4 linked regions of the Saccharomyces cerevisiae S288C genome follow. Changing the gene in region 3 together with the main gene of any one other region gives a genetic interaction. Each region holds a gene or a part of one and is shown on either strand. Other genes may lie near its edges. The genes, in order: SLP1, FRE3, GRC3 and RGI2.

The links.
Region 1: mutations in GRC3 (region 3) and SLP1 together harm fitness more than expected from each alone (negative genetic interaction), as found in Saccharomyces cerevisiae (one large-scale study listed by BioGRID).
Region 2: mutations in GRC3 (region 3) and FRE3 together harm fitness more than expected from each alone (negative genetic interaction), as found in Saccharomyces cerevisiae (one large-scale study listed by BioGRID).
Region 4: mutations in GRC3 (region 3) and RGI2 together harm fitness more than expected from each alone (negative genetic interaction), as found in Saccharomyces cerevisiae (one large-scale study listed by BioGRID).

The regions. Positions count from the first base shown.
Region 1 is NC_001147.6:620,262-628,812, reverse strand, and holds SLP1 (Slp1p), read right to left. Parts: upstream 4,085-8,551; coding exon 2,321-4,084; downstream 1-2,320. Other genes in the region: SUMO ligase NFI1, read left to right, coding at 1-453; ISN1 (IMP 5'-nucleotidase), read left to right, coding at 833-2,185; ATP-binding cassette multidrug transporter PDR5, read right to left, coding at 4,438-8,551. UniProt on the Saccharomyces cerevisiae protein: May be involved in membrane protein folding. Required for localization of MPS3 to the nuclear envelope.
Region 2 is NC_001147.6:1,053,703-1,062,501, forward strand, and holds FRE3 (ferric-chelate reductase), read left to right. Parts: upstream 1-1,842; coding exon 1,843-3,978; downstream 3,979-8,799. Other genes in the region: YOR381W-A (uncharacterized protein), read left to right, coding at 4,721-4,888; FIT2 (Fit2p), read left to right, coding at 5,829-6,290; FIT3 (Fit3p), read right to left, coding at 6,739-7,353; FRE5 (putative ferric-chelate reductase), read left to right, coding at 7,862-8,799. UniProt on the Saccharomyces cerevisiae protein: Siderophore-iron reductase responsible for reducing extracellular iron prior to import. Catalyzes the reductive uptake of Fe(3+) bound to di- and trihydroxamate siderophores.
Region 3 is NC_001144.5:66,897-75,305, forward strand, and holds GRC3 (polynucleotide 5'-hydroxyl-kinase), read left to right. Parts: upstream 1-1,683; coding exon 1,684-3,582; downstream 3,583-8,409. Other genes in the region: E3 ubiquitin-protein ligase PRP19, read right to left, coding at 1-1,360; putative AAA family ATPase RIX7, read right to left, coding at 3,737-6,250; IRC19 (Irc19p), read left to right, coding at 6,513-7,205; YLL032C (uncharacterized protein), read right to left, coding at 7,374-8,409. UniProt on the Saccharomyces cerevisiae protein: Polynucleotide 5'-kinase involved in rRNA processing. Required for the efficient termination by RNA polymerase I and the processing of the IST2 pre-rRNA internal transcribed spacer localized between the 5.8S and 25S rRNAs.
Region 4 is NC_001141.2:245,211-252,431, forward strand, and holds RGI2 (Rgi2p), read right to left. Parts: upstream 3,187-7,221; coding exon 2,692-3,186; downstream 1-2,691. Other genes in the region: U1 snRNP complex subunit SNP1, read right to left, coding at 1-349; YIL060W (uncharacterized protein), read left to right, coding at 1,182-1,616; YIL059C (uncharacterized protein), read right to left, coding at 1,340-1,705; VHR1 (Vhr1p), read left to right, coding at 4,781-6,703; YIL055C (uncharacterized protein), read right to left, coding at 6,832-7,221. UniProt on the Saccharomyces cerevisiae protein: Involved in the control of energetic metabolism and significantly contribute to cell fitness, especially under respiratory growth conditions.

The sequences.
Region 1 (8,551 bases), on a different chromosome or scaffold from region 3:
TTCTACAATAGAGGGCCATCAACGCCACTATTACCGGCTGTTCTACAAAATTTGACTAATCAAACGGAAGCGCAGAGAAACCCCTACGGACCTAATTACAATACCACAGCTCAAGATCGTAATCTTTTGGGAATCGAAGGTGATTTGCCTCCAATCCCCCCTGTGGACCCAAATTCAGAAGCAGAAACTGAACTACCAACAAGGACCACATCGGCGGCACATCTCCCTCCATATATACACGTGAGCACCAGCGGCCATGGGGATGATGGAAAAATTAGGAAGAGAAGGCATTCTAATGTTTCTATCTACATTCCGAAGAATCCATACGCCACCCTTATGAAACGGAGACCACAGGCAAATCACGCCATAATGAATAAAACTCTGGCCCAAACTAATGACTTTAACACATCGGCTCAAGATAACTCGGAAGTGGTCGATTTAACATCAGATTGATTAACCGTCTTTTGATTTCTTTCCTTTCCGATTGTATTCTATTTTTATTTCTATTGTTTCATTTCGCTCTTAATATTGACTTCCACTTTTGGGCGTAAATGATGTTTTTGTTTTGATAAATATTACGACTTTTGTTATGTTTTTTTACTACTGTGGTTACTTCATGGGTGTAGTGTGCGAATCTGCAGTGATAGGTTTCTATAGATTTCTCTGTATACTTCCTGTATTACACTATAATATTTCATGTCCTTTCACTTCCCACGTTTAGCGGGACAGGCCGCCCTTAAATTAACAAAATTTAAAAGGTAAAGGAATGTACTAAGAAAAGAAAACTATTCAAAGAAAGTAACAAAAGATCGTGAGTTAACTTATAATAGCAATGTCCTCAAGATATAGAGTGGAATATCATTTGAAGAGCCACCGCAAGGATGAGTTTATAGATTGGGTAAAGGGGCTACTGGCCTCACCTTTTGTTCTACATGCCGTCTCTCATGAAGGTGACTACAATGACGACTTAGCAACAACTCAACGTGTAAGGTCGCAGTATGCTGATATCTTTAAAGACATTGAAGGGCTGATTAAAGATAAAATAGAATTTGACTCAAGAAACATGAGCCAAGACGAAATTGAAGATGGCGCCTCTTCTCAATCTCTGAATATATTAGGACAATCGCGTTTAAATCTTTTGGTTCCATCAATTGGAACATTCTTTACGGAACTTCCATTGGAACAAGCTTTTCTATGGGAAGACTCACAACGGGCCATTTCGGCGCGTAGAATGGTAGCACCCAGTTTTAATGATATCAGGCATATCCTGAATACTGCACAGATATTTCACTTTAAGAAACAGGAGAACTTACATAATGGTAAGGTTTTGAGATTAGTGACTTTTGATGGAGATGTGACGCTGTATGAAGATGGTGGCTCCCTGGTTTACACTAATCCTGTAATTCCTTATATTCTCAAGCTGTTGCGGTGCGGTATCAATGTGGGAATAGTCACTGCGGCCGGATATGATGAAGCTGGAACCTATGAGAACAGATTGAAAGGATTAATTGTTGCATTACATGATTCAACTGATATACCAGTTTCTCAAAAGCAGAATTTAACAATAATGGGTGGTGAGTCGAGTTACCTTTTCCGTTACTATGAAGACCCGGAGGAAGATAACTTTGGCTTTAGACAAATTGACAAAGAGGAATGGCTATTGCCTAGAATGAAGGCTTGGTCCCTCGAGGACGTGGAAAAGACTTTGGACTTTGCCGAGAGAACTCTTAACAGGTTAAGAAAAAGACTAAACCTACCTTCAGAGATTTCTATTATCCGTAAAGTCAGGGCAGTGGGTATCGTCCCAGGCGAACGGTACGATGAAGCTTCTAAAAGACAAGTTCCTGTTAAGCTTGATAGGGAACAACTGGAGGAAATAGTTTTAACCCTTCAAAACACTTTAGAGTCTTTTGCCCCATCTAGAAGAATTCAATTTAGTTGTTTTGATGGTGGTAGTGATGTCTGGTGTGATATTGGGGGGAAAGATCTTGGTGTTCGTTCATTGCAACAATTTTATAACCCTGAATCTCCTATCCAACCCTCTGAAACCTTACACGTAGGCGATCAGTTTGCACCGGTGGGATCAGCAAATGATTTTAAGGCAAGGCTAGCTGGATGTACCCTCTGGATAGCATCCCCTCAAGAAACAGTGAATTATCTTCATAGATTATTAGAAACTGATTAAAACAGTTTATGTAAAATGAAATTAGGACTATAAAAGTATATAGATATTTCCTATAGAAACACCTCATATATGGCGGTGGATTTTTTCATCTTGAATGAATTATGCTTAGAATTATGATTATGGGCCCTCTAGGATTCATCTGATTGCTTGTTGAACAATGTCTGCCTTTTCAATAGCGCCATTTTTGCTCTCTTCGAAATCTTCAAAGTAAAGCTCTCTCGTTATTAATAGATAGGATATCAACCCTACGAAGGCGAAAAATGACGCATAAACAATTCTTCTTTGAAAACTGACTTCTTTTTCCAATCTTTCCAAATGCAATAAATGACGGTTAGTAAATTTGTCATTCTCCAGTTTCTGTTCTTCTAATATACGTAAAGATTGATCTTTCAATTGATTGGCAAAGTTATTCAGCAGATCTAGATTACTCATCATTGTTTCGTTGAATATCGTGACAAGATGACTGAACTTTGCTTCGTGCGCCATTTCAAGTTGTTCAAACGATTTAGATAGCAGTTTGCTCTGTTCCTCAATGTAAGAAACTGTCAAACTAGAATTTGTCTCCAGTTGTGACAGCCTTTTCATGATGTTCTTAAAAATGGATTCTTCTGGAATTACAGGAACAGCCGAAGAAGAAGAAGAAGATATCATTTGCTTGGAAGGACAAAAGGATGCATTAAGCACCTTGAAAAATTCATCGAACTTCAAAGGGATGAGCTTTGAAGTACATGATAATGCACCAGCTAAGTCTGAGAGATTGCTTGTGTTTGGAGTCTCTAAACGCGTTTCTATATTGTTACATCTGTCTTGGATATTTTGTTCATTCAAATTGTTTATATTGTTAGTTCCTATGGATTGTTCTTTATCCTCTTGAGCCTTTAGTTGATCGATCTTAAACTCATCCATCATTGATTTACCATATACTTTGATTAAGGATATGGGACAATAAAATTCGTCCTCATAATGGGATAGAATTTCGATTTTCAAATAACTTGCCCAGATTTGGGGATTATGTATTTGAAACTTTTGTAGTTCTCTTGAATTTCTTGCCTCGAATTCTCCTAATATTGTCCATTCATTTTTAACCATCGGTATTCTATCAGAAACTGACACCCTAAATCTCTTGAAGGTCGAGGAAAAGAATTCGTAATTAGCAATTTCAATTTCCTCCACCAGGATATCTTCACAAAGCTCTATAACAATGAATTGCTGCGGAGCTGAACAGGGATTCAGTAAATACTTGTCTTTGCTCTCAATTAACGTAGAAGTCGCTCCAATCGCTTCTGGATTGCTTTTGACAATTGTTGCAGCGCAATCCAAGGATGCATAGTTGAATTTTTTTTTGTAAACTTTCTCTATGTCCTTTTCCTCATTGAATCCTTTTTGATTTTCTTCTCTTTCACTCCACTCGTTTTTGTTTGTCAAAAACCCCAAATCGATTTCCAACTCTTCTCCTATGCATTCTTTCTCTTTATAGCAAGAGGGATCGACTGGCTCCCTCACTCGACTAAGATGACGTTCAGGGCCTGATGAGTGCTCCTTCGACTTGACCTTCTTCCATTCGTCGAACGATAAAAATGAATTACTCGAATCGCCCGGATTCCTTGGTGTTGCAGGCTGTGTTAGTGCATCTTGCTCTTTCCTCTCACCGTTTTCCCGTATGTCAGCCTGCCGTATGTCAACTTTAGAGGCCTGTCTAAAATCATGGGTTCTTAAAGAACCGGTGGATAGTGGTGAGGAATGTTCTTTCTGCACGTTCGTTGTACTTCCAGTCGTGATCACAGTGGTATCATGTAGACCAATCTTCGCATTTTGAGCAGTTTTGTTCCTATCTAATGCAAAAGATCCGATTATACTTACCCACAAAATAAGGCCGTATATGAGAAGACGGTTCGCCATTCGGACAGATAATGATATAATATATCTTATATTTTAACTATATCCATTGCGTCCTTTCTTTTTAACCGTAAGGCACAGTTAAGAAATAATGTTTTCACACTAAATGCTGATGCCTATAAAAAAAAAGTACCGATGAGATAACCTAGGAATAAAATTCTCGGAATTCTTTCGGACATTGAACTTTGATTTATCAGAGCTGGTAAATTCAAGAAAATTGAAATGTAGAAAGCTCGCTGAATTAAGAAAAAAAAAATAAAAACTTATTATTACGCACCTATATGTAGTGATTATGTATGTTTATTAAAAAAGTCCATCTTGGTAAGTTTCTTTTCTTAACCAAATTCAAAATTCTATTATTTCTTGGAGAGTTTACCGTTCTTTTTAGGCACTCTTGCTAACCAGTAGAAAAAGACACCAGCGATATAATTGAATGCAATATAACAGATGAAGATACCATAATTTCTCCATCTCTCACTGTAGAAAGAATTGACATTAGCTAAGTAATCATTGGTTGTAGATATTTGACAGAAACTACAGGTGTCAGTGGCATTTTCATCAGTTAAGTAACCAGTCTTTGCTAGTTGTAAATATGGTTCCATGTACTGCCCACATGTCATACCGGATGGTGGTGTGAATTCTAGCAATTCGTAATCAGCGCATTTGACGTCTACGTTAGCAACACCAACAGCCAACAGAGCCTGAATGAAATAAGTCAAAGGTGAAACCCTGTACATGAATATCCAAAATCTAGGCATGGCACTTGGGGTAGTCATAACACCACAAAAAGACAAAGACATTGTAAACAACAAAGAGGCTAAGTTAGCTGCACTTTCTGCAACTTGGTTGAATGAAATGACAAGCAGACCCATAGAACCAACATAAACGTAGAAAGCACAAGAGAACAACCAAAATAAAGCACCCCTTTCATGCAACTGGCCAGCTGCAGACGCGTTGGAGTAAAATCCAATTGGATAATAGTAGATAAAATAAGCAATAGTACCTGCCAATATATTCCATGGAACTTCCACGAATATTTGAGCGAAGATAAATGAAATCCAAGAAAAAGTCCTTGAGGGGCGTTCCCTGGCCTCATACAAATCTCTTTGCTGGACAAAAGATGGTAGGTATTGTTGTAGAATAGGATTGAAAATAACCGTAAACATGAACACAGCCAACATTTGATTTTGTAAACCCTGTAGCGAGGTTCCTGCTTTGAAGAAAGTGAAACCGATGAACAATTGATTGAAAATAGTTAAAATAAACTTCGACCATAAATAATCTGGAGATCTCCAATATTGCTGGAATAGACGAATACTGACCAATTTTGTTTGATAAATAATTGATTGTGAAAATTCGTGTTTGTCCTCAGCTGCAGTTATCGAACCTTTCTTTGGTAATTCTCTTTCCATCCAATCTAATTCAGATTGAACGGCCCTGTACTCTTCAGAATTCCTCCAAACTTCGTAATAATCTTGATTTGCATGAGAGCCTGGAGCTGCACCAACAACTTCTAGCATCCATTCAGCTGGGTTGGCGTCAGCAGGGCATTTATGAGCACCATGGCTTTCAAAATAATCGATCATAGTTTTACAACCTTCGCCCAAGTCGCCAAAGTAGACAGTCTTACCACCACGTTGCATAAATAGTAAACGATCGAATTCTTGCATCAAAATAGCAGAGGGTTGGTGAATAGTACATAGAATTGCTTGACCATGATTTGCCAACTTTTTCATTAGCTGACAAATAGACCAAGCAGTTTGAGAATCCAAACCAGAAGTAGGTTCATCTAAAAAGACCAACAGTTTTGGTTTGGCAGTTAATTCAACACCAATGGTTAATCTTTTTCTTTGTTCAACGTTTAAACCTTCACCAGCAACACCAACAACAGCATCAGCATATTTTTCCATTTCAAGAATTTTAATAACTTCTTCAACATATCTGTTCTTTTCTTCAATGGAAACTTCAGCTGGTTGACGTAGGTAAGCAGAAAATCTCAATGACTCCCTCACAGTGGCAGTTTTCAAATGCAAATCTTGTTGCTGACAATAACCAATGGATCTTGGGAAAGATTTATCACGGGGAATACCATTGACCAAGATATCACCAGTTATAACACCCATGGTAACCCTTTCGGCCAAACAATCCAGAAGTGTGGTTTTACCAGCACCTGAAGCACCCATTAAAGCTGTTAAAGTACCTGGTTTAACCCAACCATCAACATTGTTCAAAATACGTCTTGTTTCGGCCTTAATCTGAACTTCGTAACAAAGGTTTCTCCAGTGAAATATAGCCTCTGACTTGGATAAACCAATTTCTCCGTAAGTATCGGATTCCTCTTCAGAGCTTTCTTGTAGCATTTTCCTATCGCTGGATAAGTCACTACGTTCCCCAACGTTTTCGGGGTCATTTGCATTCTTTTCAGTTAGTACACCTCTTTTCTTCATTCTTTTAACTATACTGCGTGGGAAAACTAATATTTCACCTTTTTGTTTAGCACCCTCGTTGTATTCACATAAGAATAGATAGACAAAGAAAAAGAAGACGACATAAGCCATACCAATACCGAAACCACGCCATTTGTCTTTGTGGTAGTATTGATAAGTTCCTCTAATGAAATCATCACCCAGAACATAGTCTTGGCCTGGAACAGCTCCAACCACGGTACAAACAGATTCTGTACTAGAAATGTTTGCATACGCAGGACCACGAGGAACATATTCAGCGCAGGGGAATTTTATACCATGAAACTCGTTAATTAACAAAGATTCGAATAAGTAAGCCAACGGATTGATATACCAAATCCATTTAGACCAACGTAGGATCTTCTTCTTAGGAATAGCAAAACCGGTATACATGGATAGAGCCAACAATAACATAGAAGCGGGAACCATAGCTTCTGACAATGTCTTTGTTAAGGAACCAACACATCTAAACAAGTGAGACATGGAGAAAACCGCGACAATGTTTATTAATAAGTAGAAAAAGAATACACCACCATTTCTTCTAAAGTCTACTAAGAAATAGAAGATTATATTGAAGCAAACAGCGATGATTAACTTTGAGGGTATTTCTGATAGAACTGATGCAAAAGCGTCAGCACTTGGATGGTATAACGAATATGTTCTATGTTTTTCAGTGATTGGTCTGGCCTCATATAACGAAAAGATTTCTAACAGAGAAGAAAATGCATTGAATAGAATTGCAAAAAACATAGCAGAACCACGGAAATAGAATGTAGAAGTATCACCCTTTTTCATGATCTTGAAAAACATTGAACCCAAGATTAAAGCCATACTACAGTTACCCAAAATCATAAATAATGTAAACCCGATATTATTTCGCAGTCTCCACATATTTCTGATTAATAGGTATTTAACTTGCATCATGTAGCTGACAGTATAAGGAGAGGAAGGTCTTGCTCTCTTGGACTGCTTAGCAATGTGGGCTTCCTTAATAGCTTCACGGCTTGCTTCATCGTCATTCAATAATCGTTGGTCGACTTCTTTCATTAGCTCTTTGTAATTTGGAGATTTTACCCAGTAATCGTTCATTTCCTTCGGGGTCTGTGGTATATGAATACCTTTTTTTAGCATATCTTTGTTCAGGGTTCTCTCAGAGGGACTTGTAACTGAGGTCAAAAAATCTGCGGTGGTTTGTCTGCTTGGACAAACATACCCCATATCTTCAAAGTACTTCTTGGCCTTATCGGCGGGGCCATAGTAGATCTGATAACCATCATCCAAAACACAGACTTTATTGAACAAGTCGTACGCATCTTGAGAACATTGATAGATGGCCACTGTGGCAGATGTATTGGAAATATCAGCTTGAGTCTTTAAGGCACGAATAAATTCCAAAGCGGTAGCGGAATCCAAACCCCTTGTAGCATTATCCCAGCATTGAAATTTGGATCCACAGATGGAGACTTCAGCAATGGAGACACGCTTCCTTTCACCACCGGAAACACCTCTGACGATGTCGTTACCAACTTTTGTATTCCTTGTATGCGATAAACCGTACGTTGCCATTGCTACTTCCGCCAAATGATTCGCATAACTTTCCCTATCGACACCCTTGATACGGTTCTGTGGGGTTTTCAACCTCGCTACTGTAACCAAAGTTTCGAAGACTGTTAAATGAGGCAGATGTACATCAGCTTCTGCGTTGTAAACAACTTCACCACGAAAATGTTTCTTAATATCATCACCTGAGTAGCCGCTGTAAGAAATTTTAGTATCTGCACCAAGATCAAAACCATGAGTATTTGAAGAGATGGATTTTAATAAAGTAGTACAGCCAGAGCCTGGTCTACCTAAAACGACTAGCAATTCACCTGGGTTTAGGCAACCATCCATTGGTTTCAAGATTTGGAAAGTATTGGTTTCTTTAGAACGTTGAAACTTTCTCAGCCCACTTTTTAGGATTTTGTATGGAATATTAACCACAGTTGACTGATAGGCGACATCT
Region 2 (8,799 bases), on a different chromosome or scaffold from region 3:
TTAAATTTTGTTCGGTCTCGGCTATATTTGGAAGAAAAATAGCCAGTACATACTTTCTACCACTTTCGCTCAATTATCAATAAAAACATTTAATCGAAAGTCATTCAAACTGAAAACTTCAAAAGTCATTTTTTTATTGCTTCCCATTCCAATCACAATTATGCTTTGAGCCAATTTCAGTAAAACTTTGAAAATACGTAGGCGCATCGCATCGCCTAACTTAATTCGCGGTTTAACTAGCTTCCTCCACCAGTTCCATAAAAAAATGATGGATCAGTGCAAAAAAATTTTATCATAAATCTGATGAAGTATACTAAGCTGAATAAGCTGTAGGCCTTATTTGCTTTTTTCATACCCTTGGTTGGTACGACAGTAAAGATTGGCAGGTTCGGAGATACAACTTTTTTTGAGGCTTAGAATGCTCGGCCTGCATAAAATGGCGTTAAAGTTGCGCACAGGCCCCGGAAACCCTGCCAAGGAATATTACATAAGTTGCAACATCTTTTTCCAATACATGGTTAGAGAGTTTTTAATCGTTATACTTTTTTCTCATTTGATTAAAAAATATAAAATGAATTGCGAAATTCTTCTAGAAATGCGTTACTATTTTACGGTTGGCATTGCAAGATTATTATAACTACGAAGCAGTGTTGGAAAATATCATCTGGGAAGAAATTCCTATTTCTTGGGAAGAATTACATGTGCATAAAAAGATAAAACCCTCGATCACCCAAAATTGACTTTGCGACTAAAAAGTGATTTTTTCAGCATATTGCATTTCAAAAAGTCGTTGTTTAGCACAACTCATAGAAAATAAATACTAGTATGATTCGGGAATTATTTATCAGTTAATTATAGGAGTACAGCCTTTTATAGAGTTGGCGAAGATAGCCAAAAGATAAAAGCTTTGACGTACGTCTGTAAAAAGTGCCTTTTCTGATCGAATCCAGTTGCTCAGATATCCGGGAAGTTGTTAGCATTCATTGCTTTTCTGCACTATATCAGCATATGAATGCTTTCAGTATTTTAATTTTACCCTTTCACGAAGTACGCCAGAAAATGATTGGAAACGTACTCAAAAACAAAGCAGGAAATAAGCGACGAAAATTTTTCATTTCAATTAAGAGGTACTGAGCGGCTACTTAACTTTTTCTGCAGTAAGTAATGACAGAGTATCACTACAGAATTCTGTGCCTCCGGTCTGGGAATGCAGCTAGGGAGACAGCACCCTTTTGCTAATAATGCGCCGGAAATGAAACATTTAGATAAAATCTAAAGTTACGAAAACAATACACTTTGAGGGAAAGATATCAGAGAATTAAAAGCTGCAAAGAACTATGACAAATTAACCGCTTTGTTGACCCTAGATCATAGTTTACACTGCGAACGGGATAGTTGCAACCTCTTTTGTAAAATGCACCCATATCTCATTTTGCCTTTATTTCGGGTGTATAATAGGAGAAAAATTTGAATGGTAAAGAATAAGTCCCTTGCGAGTGTCAAGAGAAGCACAATTATTATTACTATTGGTGACGTGATTGAACTCGAGAATTTTCCTGGACCGATATTTGAGTTTTACGTGGAATGTGGGTGTACCTCATCTCAAAGAATTGGCGAAAAGCCAAACTTCTTAATTCTAACAAAAGCTACTGATTCGTTGGCGATGAAAGACTCTTTTTTTTGGCTGTCAGAAGCTTTCATCTTTGACATAGATGTACAGAATTTGATCAATTGTTTATATTAAAAGATTCGTCGCAACTTATATAAGGTGGCAAGAGAATGATTAACTTCAATTGCTGATGAACGTTCTCAATTCAAAAATTATAAGACACAAGGAAAACAATGTATTGGGTCCTCCTTTGTGGTTCTATTTTGTTATGCTGCTTGTCAGGAGCAAGCGCCTCCCCTGCTAAGACAAAAATGTACGGCAAGTTACCACTGGTTTTGACAGATGCCTGCATGGGAGTTCTCGGCGAAGTAACCTGGGAGTATAGTAGTGACGATTTATATTCCTCACCAGCATGTACATATGAACCGGCATTACAGTCAATGTTGTATTGTATTTACGAATCATTGAATGAAAAGGGTTATTCCAATAGAACCTTTGAAAAAACCTTTGCTGCTATCAAAGAAGACTGCGCATATTACACTGATAACCTTCAGAATATGACTAATGCAGATTTCTATAATATGCTGAATAATGGAACAACATACATAATACAGTATTCTGAAGGTAGCGCGAATCTTACGTATCCAATCGAGATGGATGCCCAAGTGAGAGAAAACTATTATTATTCTTACCATGGTTTCTACGCCAACTACGACATTGGTCATACTTATGGTGGTATTATTTGCGCCTATTTTGTAGGTGTTATGATTCTTGCCAGCATACTCCATTATCTAAGTTACACTCCGTTTAAAACTGCCTTATTTAAACAAAGACTTGTAAGATATGTGAGAAGATATTTGACAATACCTACTATCTGGGGTAAACATGCGTCGAGCTTTTCTTACCTTAAAATTTTTACAGGCTTCCTTCCCACACGATCTGAAGGCGTCATTATACTTGGATACCTCGTGCTTCATACAGTTTTTCTGGCATACGGGTATCAATATGATCCTTACAACTTAATTTTCGACTCTCGTAGAGAACAGATTGCTCGATACGTGGCAGATAGAAGTGGTGTCCTGGCATTTGCACATTTTCCCCTAATAGCTCTTTTCGCAGGAAGGAACAATTTTCTAGAATTCATTTCTGGAGTAAAATATACCTCTTTCATAATGTTTCATAAGTGGTTGGGAAGAATGATGTTTTTAGATGCTGTGATTCATGGCGCTGCTTATACCAGTTATTCCGTATTCTACAAAGATTGGGCAGCAAGCAAGGAAGAGACATATTGGCAATTTGGAGTAGCTGCTCTTTGTATAGTTGGTGTTATGGTGTTTTTTTCTTTGGCAATGTTCAGAAAGTTTTTCTATGAAGCCTTCTTATTTCTCCATATTGTGCTTGGCGCATTGTTCTTTTATACGTGTTGGGAGCACGTCGTAGAATTGAGTGGGATTGAGTGGATATACGCTGCTATTGCTATCTGGACTATTGATAGGCTAATTCGAATTGTTAGAGTATCTTATTTCGGTTTCCCTAAGGCTTCCTTACAGTTAGTTGGCGATGACATCATTCGAGTCACAGTCAAACGACCAGTAAGGCTATGGAAAGCCAAACCAGGACAGTATGTTTTCGTTTCATTCCTACACCACCTGTATTTTTGGCAGTCACATCCTTTCACAGTCTTAGATTCAATTATCAAAGATGGTGAGCTGACTATTATCCTGAAGGAAAAAAAGGGAGTAACAAAACTTGTCAAAAAGTATGTGTGTTGCAATGGAGGTAAGGCATCTATGAGACTAGCTATAGAAGGTCCATATGGCTCTTCATCTCCAGTCAATAATTATGATAACGTCTTGCTACTTACGGGAGGTACTGGTTTGCCAGGGCCCATTGCACACGCCATTAAACTTGGAAAAACGTCAGCGGCAACTGGAAAACAATTCATAAAATTAGTGATTGCAGTTAGAGGGTTTAACGTACTCGAGGCTTACAAGCCGGAGCTGATGTGTCTAGAAGATCTTAATGTACAGCTTCACATCTACAATACAATGGAAGTTCCGGCATTAACTCCTAATGATAGTTTGGAAATTTCTCAACAAGACGAGAAGGCCGATGGAAAAGGTGTTGTTATGGCAACTACCCTAGAACAGTCACCTAATCCAGTTGAATTTGATGGTACTGTTTTTCATCATGGAAGACCCAATGTTGAAAAGCTTCTGCATGAAGTTGGTGACCTAAATGGATCGTTAGCTGTGGTTTGTTGTGGGCCTCCTGTTTTCGTTGACGAAGTAAGGGATCAAACGGCAAATCTTGTTCTAGAGAAGCCTGCAAAGGCAATCGAATACTTTGAAGAATACCAAAGTTGGTAATCAATTACCTTATTTATTTCCTCACTATTTTACCTATCACAAGTATATATTTAATTGTTTTGACCTGAAACATAATTTATGTCTAGCTGCAATGAAGACAATTGATCGACTTTCACAAACTTTTTCAATCTACTAATCTTTGGAAGCATTTTTTAACTGTCTCCCACTCTTGTTCCATGACTTAAATTTCTCTTCCTCCAAATTAACTGAATTTTTTTTCTGGATTGATGTTCTTTCCAATTGTTGTGGTAATCCACAGCTGGTATAACATAAAAAGAAGTTTTTTGTAAAAAAAAAAAATTTCTCAGTAAGCATATAAGCCTCAGTGAAATAAAATTTTAACAACTACACGCTATTCTATTCCATTTGCCCTGCTTTTCTCGCTTCGTTATCACCTAACCACTAAGAACATACTAATAATACAAAATTTTTATCCACTTTTTACCAACAGATTTTCATGAAATATCCATCTTCTTTCCGAATTCTGTATAAAATGAAAGAGAGATTTTTTGCTCTCAATCCAGGCTCAAGGCTCTTGAGAACAGGTAATTGTTGTTTAGCACGTTTTCAACACATTTATCAGAAAACGACAGTTAAAAATAAGACGAGCGGCGTTATCATCCTGATAGTCACTAAATGAAAAGCAGGTACTTTTGAAGAGCACATGTAATATTTGCTCAACTGATAATACCTTCATTTTATACACACTTCTAATTTTTTTTTTAAAATCAGATACGCATTGATGTTCAATGTAGCATTACCATCACAAGACAAAAAATCAGAATTTTACAAGCAAAAGCGCTTATCTTTAAGGACCAACATATTAGATGAATTCTTAAGGGTTGCCAAAACGCAAGACAACAGGCAAAATAATTTCGTTTCTCAGTACCGAAATGACGAAATATACTGAGGCAAATGCGATCATCATGCCTTTGCGCCAAGAAACTCCCTTGTGAAGAACTTCAAACCGAAATGGGAAAACTTTGAGTTATTGACAGGGAATACGGAGGGGAAGATCACACTTAAATCCGTATGAGCCGCGCACATAATGGTATTCAAATACACAAGAACATTCATGAGCTATTTTTCATCCGTGCAAACGAATTTACTACAATTGGACCAGAGGGCACCATAACTGGAGACTTTGCTACTGACTCAACGTTGATGATGCGAGTAGTGGGTGTACTGTGATTTGCTCATTTTTTTTTTTATAGAAAGATTCGATTAATGAAAGTCACAGGAGACATTTTTACATAGACATTCCGTATATGTTGCGGGTATCGCGGATGCGGATTAGTGATGCCTTTAACTACATTTCATAGATTTCTGTATACCAATTGAAATGAGTGAAGTAAGCTCCTACAGTGAAATATCTGGGTGCTACTGACGCCAAGCCCTACAGCGATCGGAATGCGGGAACGGAAGTTAACGGGGCTTCCAGAACGGCGGAAGCGAATTGAACGAGGACGGCAAACAAAAACACCCAAAATTTCATTACTTAGAATGACCCTCAAGAGCAGGGTGCAATTTATCAAGCGATCATTGAACTAACTAAGTTCATATCCTGTATAGGATTTAAAACAATGCACCCTAAGTTCAAATGCACCCCCCCTCGCCCCGCAGCGGACCCTTGAACAGAGAACTGTTTCGAGGTTCACCCAATTGGATCACTTGTATAATTTGTAATCGAGTTCGGATAAGATGTATACGAATCTAACTGGGTGCAGTATAATTAGCATTTTATATTACCTAGCAATATATGTATAAAACAGGAATGTGTGCGTGCTTCAGGCAGAATTTTACGGTCCTTGTAAAAAAGTCTATCATAAAGCCATCACAAAACAATAATAATGAAATTCTCAACTATTTTCGGAGCTACTACAGTTATGACTGCCGTCTCGGCAGCAGCTGTGTCGAGTGTAATGACCACTAAGACTATTACTGCTACTAACGGTAATAACGTTTACACTAAGGTCGTTACCGACACCGCTGACCCTATCATTAGTTACAGTACCACTAGAACTGTCGTTGTCAGTAATAGTGATGCTACTTACACAAAGGTTGTCACCGAAGGACCAGATACCACCTCTGAAAAGAGTACAACAAAGACACTTACTTTGACAAACGGTTCAGGTTCATCAACCAACCTTTACACCAAGACCGTCACTCAAGCCGTCGAATCATCTACATCCTCCTCATCCTCCTCATCCTCCTCCTCCTCTTCTGCCTCTTCTTCTGGTGCTGCTCCTGCTGCATTCCAAGGAGCAAGTGTCGGTGCATTGGCCCTTGGTTTGATTTCTTACCTATTATAAGCTCGGTTTCAAACCAGAAAAAAGCTATTAGTTATCGTGTATAGCATATTTATAACTTATCTATGAAAAGCTAATATAATTGTCTTTCTCCTTCAAAAGGCTAGTAAAAAGGACTTTTTTTCATTACGTTTCTCAGTGACTTCAATGTAGCAGTTTTTCGTTTCATCATCATCATCGTATTATTATTATTGTTATTATTATTATTATCATTACTTTTATTAATATTAACTATTTTTTTAGTATGATTTCGGGTATATTTATTTTAATTAGATACTTTTAACCGTTTCAAACAATTAAAGGAAGACCAACGAACTTGAAACAGTATATATACATACATACTTAATGTGTGTTATTAAAATTTTTTTATTCTAACATAACTTCGAAAAAAGGCCAAGCCGCAAGGTGCTTCATAAAAATCGGATATCCCGCATGATTATTCACATATCATTTACAATAACATGACGGCAGCAAGGGCAGCACCCATCAAACCAGTACCAGCGGTGATGGCATCAGCAGCACCGGTGTAACTAGATAATTCAGCGGTGCTAGAGGATGTAGCAGAGGAAGAAGTTTCAGCAGTGGTGGTTGCAGTGGTTGAAGCAGAAGAGGTAGCAGCTTCTGAGCTGGTAGAAGTACTACTTGGAGACCAGGTGTTGCTGCTGCCTTCACCAGTCCAGACAAAAGTAGCATCTTGGGTGACAGTCTTAGTGTAGACGTGACCGTTCTTGGTGGCAGTGATAGTGGTAGTGATACTAGAACCAGAACCTTCATCAGCAGAAGAAGTCTCAGCAGCAGAAGAAGTCTCAGCAGCAGAAGTGGTAGCGGCAGCAGAAGTGGTAGCGGCAGCAGAGGTTTCGGCGGCAGAAGTTTCGGCGGCAGAAGATTCAGCGGCAGAAGTGCTGCTGGCGTAAGAGTCTTCACCACCCCAAACAAAAGTAGCATCTTGGGTGACAGTCTTAGTGTAGACATGACCGTTCTTGGTGGCAGTGATGGTGGTGGTGATACTCTCAGCAAGAGCAGTAGCGGCAACAGCAGATAGAACCAAAGCGGAAGAGAATTTCATTTTAGGGATTATTGTTATTAGTTATTTTTAAGCGAGTGGAAGTACTTGTTTGTATCTGTTCGAACATTCATATTACCTCCTAATACTTCAAATAGTTCTTGGCTTAAATACCCCATAAATCAACTTTTACAAAAAAAAAAATAACAAATCTCGAACGATAATTGAACCCCATTTTTTTGCACCCTTTCCTAGAATGGCGGAACTCGGCTCTTGAGCCCTTAGATTGCTTTCCTTCACATACATCAAAAAATATGGGATAGCGGGGTGCGGAACAAACAGGGTGCAAAAAAAAATCTAGGACATAGGTAGGACTAAGAAGACTGTGGCATTACTACACAGCAATCATATTTTACCGCTTCCTCGTTTAATTGGATTTTTACTTTTCATTACATTAGCGATCATTAAAAAAGGAGCGTCAATTTTTTACTTGGCAAATGTGTAATGTAGCGTTTTCGGTATGTCACATCACCAATTTTGTCGCAGTTAATTTAATTCACCCAGATTTCGAATGCTTTTCGCTAGATTAGTGCTGCTGTTGGTGTATTTGGCACCAGGTTCTTTAGCAAAACCAGCATCAACTAAGAAAAGAACGCAATGGGACCAGATAGCAATTGATGCTTGTGCTAAAGAATTGGAATCACACAAATTTGACACGGATGTGAAGGGTCGGCACGCTACTCTTTGCACTTATGAACCAGCACTAGGGTCTTGGTTACATTGCGCGAAGGATGTTCTCGACAGTAGGAAGAAAAGTAAAAAAATATTCGAAAAAACGTTTAGCAAAATTAATCAGTATTGCCACGATTATCACAAAGATGAGGTCGTCAGCAATGAGGAGTATTATCGAATTTTTGCCAATGCATCCCTTTTCATCCGGCCTCTTGATGAGGTAAAGGAAAACATACGATATCCCGTCACTCCCAATAAAGCCTCTCTAGATAGGTGGGTATGGGCTTATTTTGGGCCCCTGGATAATATAGACAAAGGAAATGTTTATGGAGTGACGATTTGCTTATACTGGATAGGAGTTCTGTTTATTGCAGCTGTATATCACTTCTTGAACTTTTCTCGACTTAAACAAACGGTGTTCAAAAACAAGGTGTCTGCTTTCTTAAGAGGCCACTATGTTCTTCCAGCGCTTGTTCATAACCATGCTATGTCAGTGGGAAGGTGGTTTTTCATCGGTCTGGTCCCTACCAGGTTAGAGACCCTTGTCCTATTCGGTTACGTTTTGTTGCACGGGTTCTTGTTGAGTAGTTACAATTTTGACCATAATGAGTTGCTCAGTGATCGCAGAAGCCAAGTGCTTATCTTCCTTTCCGACAGGGCAGGGATCCTGGCATTCGCACATTTTCCTTTGATAGTTCTCTTTGGCGGTAAAAACAGCACAATGACTTGGCTCACAGGTATAAGATATACCGCATTCATTACTTACCACAAATGGTT
Region 3 (8,409 bases):
TTTTCTTGTCAAATTTGTATATCGTCAGCGAATTGCTCTCGTTTGAGTATGCAATCATATTCTTTCCAGAGTCGTCAATGTCATAGGTAACGGTGCCCGTCTTGAATTCTGGGATTGTGTAAGTTGGATACGCTAGCGTGCCGACATCCTTTCTTAGGTCAAAGCAAACCACAGTTTGGTCACACTCTACTACCATCCAGTACCCATTGTCTGCAAATTTAACCTCTTTTATCTTGGCTTCTTCATCTACGGGGAATCTAGAGCTTGCCTGGTCAGGTGATGACAAGTTGTAAACGTCTAATATACCGTCCGGAGAGTAAAGGGCTAATAATAATGAATCCTTATGTAGGACACCGCTGCTGTACTCAACATCTGATTTAGCAGAATGAACAATATACTGGGAATCATCCTCGTAGGATTGAAATCCTATGGTTCCTCTATTATCCGCCCAGATGAAGTACTCTGTGTTGACCTCGTTGTGACCATACATATATATAATCTCATTGGCGGAATCTACCTCTATTTCTCTGAGGACTTTGTTTGTTTTTGAGTCCAATATAGTTATTTGGTTACCTGGATATAGTAGTAGCAAACGATTACAAGGCCCTCTGGAAATAATAGCTGGATGCTCTCCCCCGGTACGGGGATTTGGTGTAGTTATTGTGGTAATCGTTTTCGAATCTTTTAATTGGGTAAAATGTAAAGCACCATCCTCACAGCGACACATGCACACCCATTTATCATAGTACATAGATTTGTTAAGCTCTTTATATGGGAATGTTTTGATGTTACGGGAGTAATTTTGTGCCTGTAATAGCTCCAAATTTTTTAAAATCGGCCATTTGGGTGCTTTGAGCTTGCCCCTCGCTACAAAGTCTCTAGAAGATTGTAACAGCCCTTGTAAAAATTCTTCTCTCGTAATAGCTACCGCTTGCTGTGAGGATTTGGGTAAATCCTTCGAATCTTCGTTTTTTTCCATCAATAGTTGCGCAGCGACCAACTTTGCAGCATCTCTTTCGTACATTACAGTCGACAGTTTTTTCGTTAAACTATCTAGAGTTGATCGTAACTTAAAGTTTTCGAGCATTATAGCATCCCATTCATTCTGTAAACTTGTCAACAGATTCGGAATCGAATAATTCGCTTTTAACGTAGCAGAGTTTGTAGACTCTGTTAGTGAGGCTTGTTGCGCACTAGGTACGATTTCCACTATTTCTTCGATGCTTAAGGGCTCATTTGTTATCGGATCATTCCCCGTATCTTTAACATACTGTTCAAGGAGCGACTTTTCAAAAATAGTCCTGGATTTAGGTGATAGAACTGGCCTTCTAGGAACTTTCCCACTAATAGCACAAAGCATTGTTCCCTAGTTGGCTTTCTTGGCTATGTTTTGGTCTTTAATATTTCTTGGAAAGTTTGCATCTTTCTAAAATTGCCCTTACGAATTTTTCACCGCTGCTACCCGAAAAAGTACGAAATTTATCAACATGAAATTTATTCCTGCCAAGTCATCGAGTGCTCTGCGCCTAAGGCTTAGGTTGCATTTAAGTTGTCTTAATTCACGCTTATAGTGCAGGTAGTATAGGTTCCCCACTCCTGATCTTTCCCTTCTGAAATAAGGAAAGACTGCAGTTTAGTTTGGCAGAGAGAAGAAGATAATCATTTCTATTATATTCTACCGCTATGGTGATAGATTCCAAACAGGATCTACCTCAATATACCAAAGATTCAGGTTCAGAATCGGACTCAGACTCAAGTAATAATTTCATTGTGGAATCTCCGTCAATTCCATCTTCAAAAAGTGCAACCGTAGTTCTCAATAGTGAAGAGTATGAGGACGACGAAGGTGATGACTTGAACGGGCTGGATGCTGAATTGATCGATAATATAACGTATGAAGGAGATGAAGATGAAACTATGTTTGTGGGGTTGAAAGAAAAACAGAAGTTACATTTATCTGGTGTTTTCCGGCTGCAAGTGGTGAAAGGAGGTATTGTCTACAACAATGTACACTATAACGCTTCGAGAGAAATTTTAACCTTCTGGCACCCGTTATCACAGTCCATACCTACTATAGATTTTTCGCACTTTGCAGGCTGGCAAGACACTTTTTTTATGCCGAGAAACAACAGGTTTAAAATTAGAGATGAAGAATTCAAATCATTTCCATGTGTTCTTCGCGTTTTTAATTCTAATCATACGGGCTTGTTAGAAGCAGGTCATTTATATCGGGATGTTAATTATCTATGGAAACCTAAAGAACCTTACTTTCCATTAAACGAGAGAACAACGTATCATTTATTACATGAGTCAGACCGAATTCAATCTTTATCCGTGCCGGGATATTGGTCAACTCCGTTAGAGAAGTTATATTTGAGTCACAAGAACGCTGCGTATGATACAAGAATCATGGTGATTGGTGGTAAAAACTCTGGGAAGTCTACATTCTTGAGGCTTTTATTGGAAAAATTTACGCAAGATATACGAGATTCTACTACGAGCCAGGAAGAATTGGTATACCTGGATTTAGATCCTGGTCAACCTGAATACTCACTACCTGATTCAATATCCCTGAATAAGATTCTTTCCAGCCCTATTTCTCTCGGACAACATCTCTGCCAAGGTTCAAATTTCCAAACTTTGTTACAGTTCTACGCTGGCTCCTCTTCCCCGCAGGACGAGCCCACATCATACCTGAACTGCGCTGATAAACTTATAGACCATTTGGAAGAGCAAGCCTTCTTCGGAACGTCATTGCTTAATCTACCTGGGTGGATAAAAGGATTCGGGATGCAGATTTTAAATCATATAATAAGGAAATATAAGCCCACTCACTTATTGTTTTTGGAAACAGCTAATTCGAAAAGACACCTGGATGAACTAACAATTCCACAGAGTTTTTCCACATCACTACGAGATGCATATGCACCTGAAGTTGTTCGCGTTCCAGCCCATAGTCTGAACCACACCTTATCTTCTAGGTTCCATGCATCACAACTGAGAACATTCAAAATACTGGCACTGTTTCATAAAATAACTCAATTTGATTATGATTTTGCGCCTCTTTTAAAATCTGCACCTTTGCAAATTTCATATGGCAAAGGTAAAAGCGGTATTAAAGGCATTCAATTTCCTATGGAATTCCAGGATCTGAATCCTCAAGATATCAAGTCCGCATTGGAAGGTACTGTCATTGGGATATATACATATTCTGGAGAAGACTCACTAGAGGTGAAATCCTTGAATACCTTTCCCATCCTACAATCGTGTACTTCTTCTTCTAAAAATTTCATAACTCTGGGGCTGATACACTCTATTGACACCTCCCAGCAAATAATGAACATTTACGTGCCACCTTGCCATACCCAGATTTTAGATAAACAACCTGAGGATGCTCAATGGATAATAGTAAGAAATAAGACGGAAACTCCTTTTTGTGACTTTCTTCCATCCCCCCGCACAATTACATGGGATGATAATATACAAATACCGTTCGCAACTTTTGAAAGAAGGAAAAAATTGGAACATGTGTGGAAAGTTCGTAAGAACGTCATGAGACGTGGCCAATTCATGAAAAGATAGAAAGAAAAGGTAATCGTACATTTTTTAATAGTGAAAGATAGAGGATACACAAAAATCATGCAAAGTTTTATATATTTGTTATGTATACTCATATTCCTTCAATATCTAAGTCATACTAACTTCTAGGGACTTTACCAAAATATTATTTATAAATTTATTGTTTCATTTCTTCCGCATCCTTCATCTCCTCCGTTAAACCCATTTTCTTATTTAATCTATCATATTTCAGTCTATCTTTATCGCTCACAGAGGGTTTAATCTTTCTTAATGCACTTCGGAAGTCAGACATGGTCACAATAATTTCTTCGCCAGATACGCCAACCGATAGATCCTCAAATTCCTTGTCTAAGTCATTATCAAGAACAGATTGTATTTCTTCGCTCTGAAAAAACTTCCTTTTTAGAGCCAAGACTGAACTCTCCCTGACTAAAGCAGCCAAGTCAGCGCCTGAAAAATTGTTGCACTTCTCATTTCTGATAATTTCTTCAAAATCAACATCGCTACTCAGAGGTGTTCCGTGTGATTTGGTCAAAGTTTTGATAATATCTAGTTTTTCCTCAGTATTAGGTAACTCAATAAACAAACTCTTATCCAATCTGCCCGGTCTTAACATAGCAGGATCAATCATATCAGGTCTATTAGTGGCGCCAATCACAAAAATTCCCCTTCTATCGTTCAGCCCATCTAATTCCGTTAACAAAGTGTTGACGACTCTTGAGGAGGATTCGGACAAAGAAGTATCTCTTCTTGGCACCAAAGCGTCCAGTTCATCAAAAAATATAACACACGGTACAGACGCCCTTGCTCTAGTAAAAACTTGTCTGATGGACCTTTCTGATTCACCAACGTATTTATTTAATAATTCAGGACCTTTGATTGATATGAAATTTGCACGAGATTCATTGGCAACAGCTTTTGCTAGTAACGTTTTACCACAACCTGGTGGTCCCCACAATAAAACACCACCAGGGGCGCTAATTCCCACTTTTTCATAAAGCTCTGGTCTCTTGATGGGTTGCACAATAGCCATATTTAATTCAAGTCTAACTCTTTGCAATGCGCCTACATTAGCCCAAGTAACATCAGGTACCGTAGCGAACCCTTCTCTCTTTGCTGTTGGTTGAATTGTTGGCAACGCTTTCAAAAAATCTTCGTACTTAATCGATAATAATGATAACTGCTCTCCTGATAAAGGCTCAGGATAATTACGAATAAATTGTTGGACTACGGATAAAGGCAACGGATCGATCATATTCGCAGTGTTCTTCAGGCTAGATTCATCTCCGTTTGCTGTTTCATCAATTTCCATGTTATCTTCTGAACTGTCCGTTGCCGTAGTTGGTGTGGATTTTATATTAGCATAGGTTTGGAAAATTCTTTTAATAGCGCATGTACCGGCAGCAGTAACTAAAGCCTTTAAATCAGCGCCAACAAAGCCTGGGGTTAATTTTGCCAATTTGGCAAAATCGATAGCACCATCAATTTTTAGGTTATCAGACATTTTCTTTAAAATATGTAACCTTGAGACTTCATTCGGGACATTCAGGCATATTTCTCTATCGAATCTACCTGCTCTTCTCAATGCTGCATCCAAAGAGTCAGGTCTATTCGTGGCACCTATGATAATAACAGGTTTTCCATTTGTCTTTTCCATCGTTAATTCATCCATTGAGGTCAATAATTGGGCAACTATTCTTCTCTCCATTTCTCTTTGGGCTCCTCCATCACGTTTTGGTGTAATGGCATCTATTTCATCAAAGAAAACAAGACATGGTGCCAAGCTTCTCGCTTCATCAAACAAATCCCTAATCTTTTTCTCGCTTTCCCCAGACATACCACTTACGACTGAAGGTGCAGAAATAGATATAAATGGGACTTGTAATTCTCCAGCTAACGCATTAGCAATCGACGTCTTACCGCAACCCGGTGGGCCATGCAACAGAACACCTCTAGGTGGTTCGACACCCGTGGATAAAAATATCTCTGGATGAAGAATGGGTAGACCTATTAGTTCCATAAGTTGTGCAACGACATCATCCATACCACCTAAGGATTTCAGAGACGAATTAGGTGGAGATCTATCTTCCTTGATTTTTTGACGTTTTACCTTACATGTACCTTCTTTGGATCTTTTTTTAGATTTTTTAACCTCTTCTGTCTTAGGATCATCAGTTTCTGTTATAGACTCGGAAACAGATCCAGATTTGGACCACGTGCTAGTTATGCGTTTGTTCATCTCATTTGTGTCTCGCTCAATCATCATATTTTTCTTAGCTAGTTCTTCTTCCAAGCTTGGTTTCTCTTCCTCTTCGTTGTTGTAACCTGGGTAAGAACCAAATTCTTCCAATTCTGATTCAATCACGTCTTTTAGCATGCGGTCAATTGTCTTTTGTAAGACAACTTTCTTAACTCTTTGAAGTGATAAATCTTTAGTCAAACAAAAGGTAAAAATCTCACCTGCTGTTAAATCTTTAGCGAAAAACATGGATTCAAATATATCCTCATCTTCTTCACCCTCGTTGTTCTCGCCCTCTTCTCCTTGGGATTCTTGTCTCAGAGACCTTTTTCTGTCCAAAGTTTTTTCTTCCAAGAGACGATAGATAAGATCGACGATCTTGTTATCTAGAGAACTTGTTAATGAGTTCTTTTTCGACTTTACTTTAACCATTATTCCAGCCTTCCCACCACGTAGCTATTATCGGCCCTAATGATCTTTTATTCTAACTGACTCGCAGATTAATTCACACATCGGTTGTTAATCATTGTTTGAATTTCCAAAATATGCGATGAGCTGAATGAAAAATTTTGGAACCTGTCACTATCGACGAACATCGAAGTTTGCCATGACAACCATATATGAAGAAAGCTTATGAGACTAGCTCGAGTATATCATACGTATGCATGTTAATCGCAGTTAAGCGGATAACACAATGCGTAAGCCTTCTATTACGATAACAACAGCAAAAGCTATTATAACTCCAGACTATACTCTTATTAAATCGCATTCTAAATACCAACTTCCTTCACGTTTTCAAAAGCTAGATGCAGACTCACCTGAGAGAAGTACAGTTGTTAAGCTATTTTACCGCCGATTTATGAGGCTTAAGCCTTTCATATCGAATGTGAAAATGGTTAAAGATACTTACAGGGATTATGTTCGATATAAGTTTATGAAAGAAAACTACGAACTCAAACGATACTTGGTATTCAATCCTGATGGCTTGAGGTCGAAAATCAATCTTGAGCTTCTCAGCAACACGAAATGTTGTGAAAGGATACTCCCCGTGACTGAGATGCAAAGAACCTTGGAATTTGTTCTGAAGAGCTGTTCATACTTGCCCGAAACAAAAGTTCAAAAGTGGGATATTGCAAGGGACAACACATATTGCAGGCAAATTTTAAAGAACCTTTTAACAATGCAATATGAAAAGTACAGATCGATTTTGCATAGAGGAATAGGCCATGATGAGCTTGACGTCAAATTCTCTCATTTGAAAACTACTTCTAGTCCGCTAACTAAGCTAAATAAAACCGAAAAGAAAAAGATTCCGCTTTTCAAAGTATTTAGTGATTTCGATACAACATTGATATATCTCAATGAGACATTAGGTACAAGGTTATAAAGATCATTATCGTAAAAGAGGAGCGGAGCGGAGCTTTTTAGTATGTATGGTAAAATATCAATCAAATACTGTAATAGATGCGGATATGCGCAATGACATATTTTGTGGTGTGCATATCCATTGAAAAGGTGCGTAGAACGTTACAATACTACTGAACTTTTTTCCTTCTCATTTTCTGCCATTTTGATATTTATGCCTATTATTGGTTTGAGCTTTATTAGAGTTGGCATAATTATAATCGTACTCGTATGTATATCCGTATCCATACCCATATCCGTTGTAATAAGTGTTTGGTATATATCCTTTGATGGCTTGGGCTCCTCCTACCGTCGTTATAACAGGCATTTTGTGGCGTTGTGGTGAGGCTCCTGATTGGCTGGTATTATCGATGGTCGTACGACTTTTGGCATTATTCATTGATCTGAAATTGCCATTGGTATTGCTATTACTGGTGTTACTCTTGCTGGAGGCAGACCCTAGAACAAATTTTTTAATTATTTTTTTAAATATTATTTTCGTCTTTTGTGTTTCCAAATAATTGGATAGTAATTCGATTGCTTTTGTTAGAGTATTCTCATTAGTATCCTTTTCAAAAGTAAAAGTGATAAGGTCCTTCTCAAAAGTTACAATTATGTTCATAATTTGCAAAAATGGAACAACAATTAGGTTATAAAATTCGTATTCTTTATTGGGATCTATCTCTTGATCTATTTTGAACTCGTATTCATAACCAAACGCACTATTAACCAATTCGTTAGCGGCTCTTGATGCATTCTCATCATTTCCTTGTATACTCAATTGAGATGTTCCATCCAAGGGCTCTTTTAACGGTATCATTATGTAAACATTTTCGTTCTTTTCGATTTGTCCTATAATATTCTTTTGGCCGTTAACATGCAAAATATGTCTATATTGCCCACTAGAAAATCTAATGAGCGTCTTCGATTGTAAACTATCATATTCTTGAACAATTTGTTTTAAATCATTCTTGGCTAGGCATATATTAGCTTTGTTTTTCCTGGGGCACCTAATTATCACATTATCATACCTGATCATAGAAATTTTATTTTGTGGAAGATTGAAACTATTGGAAAACTGAATGAAGACGTTATGCTTTCTCATTGTGGCTTGAATTAAGGAACCACCTGTACCTATAATCGGTCTGTGACAAACTTCAGGAATGAAGAAAGATTCTTCGGCAGGA
Region 4 (7,221 bases), on a different chromosome or scaffold from region 3:
CGTATGGTAGCCTCCCAATAAATATCGTTCTGTAGGGATCTGTGTCCTTGATATGAGGGTCAACGTTAGGATTCCAATTTTGTAGTCTCCGGTCTAACAATTGAGCATTTTTGATCTTGGAAAGTTTGATGTCTTCGTATCTTTGGAGATGGTTGTTTGGAGATCCTTCAGGAAACTCCTCCATATAGTGCTTCAAAGAGGTTGATAGTAAGTTTGCAACGCCAGTGATATTTGGATTTGTTTGTCTCTTCGCATATGGGTAATCGGTTGGTCTTTTGTAAGATAAAGGTGGCCTTGGCTTGAAAAGTCTCGACACGTCGTCTGGATACTTGGATAGATTATAATTCATCAAGGTTGAGGTGCCGATTACTTTTTTAAGGTTTCCTTTCGACAGTCGATGACCGTGCTGTGTGTCATTATCTTGCAGTTCTTTTTTTCTTCAGATGCGTTAATTTCCTACGAAGGGCGCATACAATGGTGCTGATGGGATTTATGAGCAAAACAAGTAGGCGAGCAAGACATGAACGAAATTGTAATGAAGCGTACTTCCTTTTCCCTACAACCTTAAAAAGGTCTCACTGATATATCCATTCGCAATAATGACAAGATTTTTGCATGGGACTTCTTTTTTTCTTTTGAATAAGTCGCGTTATAAGGACAAAACATTAAAAAAAAATATGTATTGATTCACTGATTTATATATACAGAAGTAAGTACCGGGGTACCTAAATATACGCATAAAAGTCTCTTTCTTTTTTTTTTTTTTTTTTTTAGCTTCCTACATTTCGTTAATAATATTATATAGATTATATTTATATTTAAGAAAAGTAATATCAGCATATTATGAATAGACAAAAAAGTCTAAGGTCAAGATTTATTAAATGTTAGATTATTAAGATTACAATTAACAACATTTGTTGTTACTTCATAAAATTTCGTTACTTCATAAAAGAACTACAGTCCCCCACTTCTAAATGAGTGGTTGTAGGGGTTCATATACCTCCCATACTGTTGGAATAAAAATCAACTATCATCTACTAACTAGTATTTACGTTACTAGTATATTATCATATACGGTGTTAGAAGATGACGCAAATGATGAGAAATAGTCATCTAAATTAGTGGAAGCTGAAACGCAAGGATTGATAATGTAATAGGATCAATGAATATTAACATATAAAATGATGATAATAATATTTATAGAATTGTGTAGAATTGCAGATTCCCTTTTATGGATTCCTAAATCCTCGAGGAGAACTTCTAGTACATTCTACATACCTAATATTATTGCCTTATTAAAAATGGAATCCCAACAATTATCTCAAAATTCACCAACTCTTCACATACATACCTGCGGTAGCAAGATAGGTACACTTTTTCTACGTTTCACGAAGGTAGCGATAGGTACCTCACTCATTGTAGGTGCGGGGGTAGCGATGGAGGTTTCTGTACCATTACCACCACAGCCACTATACTCACGTAGTGAAGTCCCTAGCGTGGAATTGTGTGGTATCGTTGCTATCTGTCGTTCGCCACCCTCGGTATATCCAACGTGCAGGCCAATATCACTCTCTAAGAAAATCGTATCAGGATTGGTACGGACAAACTCTTCATAGCCTACGTCGAAATCAAATTCTGCTAAAGCTGTGACTGTAGTTAAACCTAAAACCGCGATTATTGCTTGAAAAACTGTGGAGAAATTCATGATGGACGGTCACGTTCAGGGTCTGAGAAAACCACTCATTCCTATGTCCCATGTGGTTGGTTGCAATTTGCTGCTATATATACGACTTGGCTGTAGAGAGATCTACGTAGGATGTGTCCACTATCAAGGGGGGTTTACCAACGTTATCTTCTATTTTAAGTGCTCAAATGAAGGTTGCATTATATCCCTGGCAGTTTTCCCGGCAATTTTGCCGGCCGCTTATAATAGTCATGGTGAAAGGATTGTTGCTTGTTGTGGTTGCAACATGACAGTTGCCTACTAACTAAATAATAATCAAAGTCAGTTTCTCAACAATGGAAAACCTGTTGTGACCTTATCGAAGTAACAACATCGTATAATAATTAATCTGGAAAAAATACCATAGTTACTGCCGATACAGGTCTACGTGACTTACTGACAAACAGACTGAGTGACTACGAGTCCAGAAATTTAGTATACCATATTGTCGCTTCTTCTTATAGCCCAGCTCCAGGTCTGGATACGGTTCTGTATAACTCGTTAAGGTTTAAGTGTCCGGCAATTTTTTTGAAGTTTCATTTCTTCACTCGATGACCAAGCCGTGTGCCATCTTTTCGTTTTCTTTTTTTTCAATGTGTTTAATTATCTACAAAGAGGGCACACACAATAGAGCTGATGAGAACCCATGAGCGAAACAAGTAGAAAAGCAAGACGTAAACGGAATCATGGTGGTGTGTACATTTCTCTTTTTTTATTACACCAAGAAAGCTTAATTGGTACGTATTGTTCGTGATAGTAGCATGAATCTAGCGTGGAATTCTTTTATTTAAGGTCGCGTTGTGACGACAAAACATTAAAAAAACCACATGTGTTGATTTGTAGACTTGTATACACTCCAGTAAGAAGGTGCACACCAAAATACATGCGCATATAAATTATTTTATATAGCATGCTATATTTCGTAAATTCATAAAATTTCGTTAATTCATAAAAACAGCTCCCCAAACTTAGATGAGTGGCTGCAAGGGTTCTGTCTTGTAATCAACATCTACCATTGCGCCATCGTGTTTACATACAACTTCGACAGACACCTTGAATTTCTTGGCGTTCAACTCCGTTTCTTCGCCATAATTCCAAACAATCCGGTCAAAGGATTCCTGCTTTTTCTTATCGTGGAATTTCAATTCTGGCTTGTTGATAGCGGTTTTGATGTCCTTTAGCAGGTGCTTCTCAACATGCTGGTGTAAATGGCGAACAAACTTCTTAGAGTGCGAATTGGCAGTCTCTTTGATCTTTTCCGGATCATCATGCGCATCATGCAGGACAAAGGGTGGATAGTACTTCAGTTGGCAATGGACATGGTCGAACTCTTGATCTTCCGTCTCACCCTTTAAATATGTTTCAAAATCATGCAAATCCTCAAAAACCTTTAAGGACTCACCACTTTTTGTAGTGATGGTGGACATCTTAGGACCCTTTGCTTTCTTATCCTTTTTCGTCATTCTTATTATTTAAAATACTTTGTTATATACTGTACGTTGTTTCGTTTGCACTTAATCGTGTTTCGACAGATAGGTGAATCAAGATCTACCTTTACGCGAAAGATACGAAGAATTGAGAAGGAGGTGCAAGGGAAAAGGGCAATAGAGGATTGGGACAGCCGATGCTTATATACGGACGATTGCCAACCGCCGAAAAGGTTCAAGCCAAGAACAAAAAGTAGAGAGAATACCCCAACAATAGCATTTGATGGCTAAACGGCAGTGCCCGTTAATACTATTCAAATTATACCCCGCATTAATAATTCCTGTCCCTTTAGTCTCGTCCTTCAGCCGTATAGCCGCAAAACTTCGTTCAATGATTTCATGCCATCATTACACCGCGAGTCGTGGGTGCATTGTAGTTTATTACGAAAAGTATCTACAATACTTGCTTAAATAACCTACATTGTTTTAGGCACTATGGCCGAGTGGTTAAGGCGACAGACTTGAAATCTGTTGGGCTCTGCCCGCGCTGGTTCAAATCCTGCTGGTGTCGTTATTTTTTTATTTTTATTTTTTTTTTATCGCTTACTGATTATCAGATATCTTCGACAGCCTCACACAGATTGGTGATCACGCACCCATAATCATTTCTTCGGGCATGCTCCTATTAGCCACGGTTCGCAGAATAATCTGCGCGATGTTATTCACCAAGACCGTGGAGTCTCCTTTTCGGTGGGATCCGCTTATATCCGTATGCGTCGGTTGCTTTCTCGGGGAAAGGAAAAGGAGAAAGCCCGGATAACACGACACAAGAGTCATTCGTTATGCACGGACACAGGGAATCGTGCGGAGCCGGGGATAAGAGGCCGTGCTAATTTCCGCGGAACATCGGAATGCAGTGGACAAGTGCCCTGAGAACAAGCGGCGGGCGGGTAGCTGCCACGGAATAGGCGCCACGTTTCCGTGGGTGACTATGACTTTTGATCGATTCCATGTTGTTTTGCCCTGAATTCTGCGCCCCTCGGAGAAGTTTCTTTTCTTTTTTATCTCTTTTTCATCTCTGACCTTCGTTTCCTTTCATATAGACTACGCAGCAGAATCATGGCAGGAGCTATTAGCTGAGTGGGCAGATTACGTTTGCGCACTGTGCATTGTGACAGATTATATTTGCTTCGCTTCTCCCTCTTACTTCTTCAGCATAAGTGTAAGCCATATGTTCCCTGAAATCTTTCTACCGTCGTCTTCTCTTTTTTTTTTTTTTACTATAAATCAATGTGCTCTCTTCCATGATTCTTGCCTTTTGGATCTTCGGTACTTGTGTGGGTGAGAATGGTGTTATTGAGTCAATTCAGGTCAGCTTGGTTCAGTTCTAATCTAGCCCTTTCCCTACTATACAAATACTACTAGCCTTTTTTTTTCTCTCTCTTTCTCTATACCACTACCTCTTCCTCTTCCTTTTTTTTCTCTTCTTTTTCTATTGTCCCCATCGCATCTTAGCATAAACGCATCCGCATTCCCTTCCTACATTTTTCTTTTCTACTAGTTATAGCTTTAAAACCTTCTTTATTCTCTTTCTACCTATTCTTCTTCGTTGCTTATATCCTATACACATATGAACGGTCCTCCAACATTCACTCAATATAGAATAAATAAGTTTTCTGGGAATGGAGCAACTCATAAGATTAGAGAATTACTCAATTTTAATGATGAAAAGAAATGGAAACAGTTTTCGAGCAGAAGGCTGGAGCTGATAGACAAATTCCAACTAAGTCAATATAAGGCAAGCGAACAAGATCAAAACATAAAGCAGATTGCTACAATATTAAGAACGGAGTTTGGATACCCTGTAAGCTGCTCTAAGGAATTCGAAAAGTTAGTCACTGCTGCTGTGCAATCAGTGAGAAGGAATAGAAAACGATCAAAAAAACGCTACGCTCTCAGCATAGCCAATGGCAGTGGCGGCAATGTCAACAACAGCATCTCGTCAAATTCTACTTCTGACGACGAGATCTCTCCGTCGATCTACCAGCGCTCCAATTCGGACTTCCTGCCTAGTTCTAATTATGCTGCAGATTTCCAGTTTTCAAACAAGTTCCAGCCTCTCATGAGTCACCAGAGTCATAACGGAACCATTTTTCCAACCGTGGGCACCCAAAATGACTCATCTCCATCGGTTACTTCGACCCAACAAAAGTATAACGATATAGTCACCATGCTAGTGCACGATCTTGTTACGAATGTCGTACCCCTATCAGAACAAGCTCTCAAGGACCCATATACTGGGCCAAACCTGTCACATTTTGCTACGTCTTCACTCAGCCAGCAACCTAACATTACCACAAACATCCCGATAGATTCTACCGTGCCATTTTTCCTGAGGGAAAAGTTACTCCTACAAATCCAAAGATCAAGAACTTGTCAGGACATTTCGCAGGCTGCAGGATCCATTGATATATACGCAAATCTGGAGATTTTGGGTGAAATGTCAATCCGAATGTCTATTGCATTCGTTATCGAACGATTTTTCTCCAACTTGGTCTCTTCTTCAATGAAGTATATCACTGCCAAGACGTGCTCTCCTGAAAATCTGGCTTTGTTGTCTCAAAGACTGTTCGGTGCCGCTACAAGACATAACTTATCTCATTTCCCCGCGGCTCAGGTACAACTAAGGCTACTGTATTTGGTCATAGGTGGTATTGTCAAGGATTTTGGCTTCGACCCCACGCTTTACCCTTTAAGTGAAATCATACATCATATTGTGATGGTTCAGTATCCTTTGGCTAGTTCCTGTGCGTCAGAACCACCATCATCTTCACCTAACAAGAGGGTTAAGAGAAGCCCTCCTGTCGTTTCAAGTGACGTTATGTTGAATAATAATAACACTCTATCGAATAGAGCTACACTTTTAACTACGCTACCAATGAAGCCTCAATCGGCCAATAAAGATGTTAATCGCAGAGTGATCATTAGATTTAATGATCGCGAGCAAGCCTTTACTTTCCACCAGTTGAGCAATGGACCACCCACGGTGTCTGAAGTTTTGGAAAACTGTAAAAATTTATTTAATATTATCAACAAGAACAAGAATTTTGGTATTTTCCATAACGATAACCTCTTGAACGATGAAAGTTTGGCAAAGTTATTTGATTCCTTTTCCACGAGCGAGATTCATCTCGTAATTAAGGACATTTCCACCATTCCACTACAAGATGCAAAAATACCAGTGCCCATTACGTTGCCCAAAATGTCATGCATAGGTGAAAACCCCTCTATGCCTTCTATTCCATTGGTACCACAAGAAAAAGATGATCCAAAAAAATCAAGCTTAACTGCCTTTGATAACATCCTTAATAGGATCTCTAAATCGCCAATGAATGAAGAAAATAGCAACACTACTTTAAACACTGGCACCTCCACCTCCAACACAAATAATAATGACCACAACGAGTCTGTGCCAGCGCCATACGTTACAAAGAACAAAAATTCTTTTCAAAATGGCAATTTACCACAGCCGGTTTTCCAGCCTTTACTTTGATAAAAATACAAAACAAAATTGTCTACATACATAACTGCCTAATACACATTCTACACAATATTTTTTTCTTTTTCAATTCGCGTACATATTTATGTAAGATAAAATAATAATATCCTCTTAATCCATGCTTAGAACTGCTGCCGTTGATTTTCAAATTCATCCTCGTCAAATGGTGGCAGTTCCATTACATGAATTTTGTACCCCAGTGAATATTCCTGGTCTTGTAAGGATTCGAACGTCAAATCAGACAGCTCTTTATCGTGGAACCCAACAATGGCATTATACACAATTGTGCTAACTTTAAAGTATTTCGCCTTGCTATCACCTTCGGAGTCAGAGACGTTTCCACTTTGTGCAAAAGTAGTTGGCAAATTTCTATTAAACTCCTCTAATTCATCTTCCGGTAATTCAAACCTCAGTAGAGTTGCTTCTTCATGATCTTCATAAACCCCTACATAGAATTCCCTTGTATTATTGATAGATGTTCGAGGTCCGCCATTTGTGTATGTGCTATTATT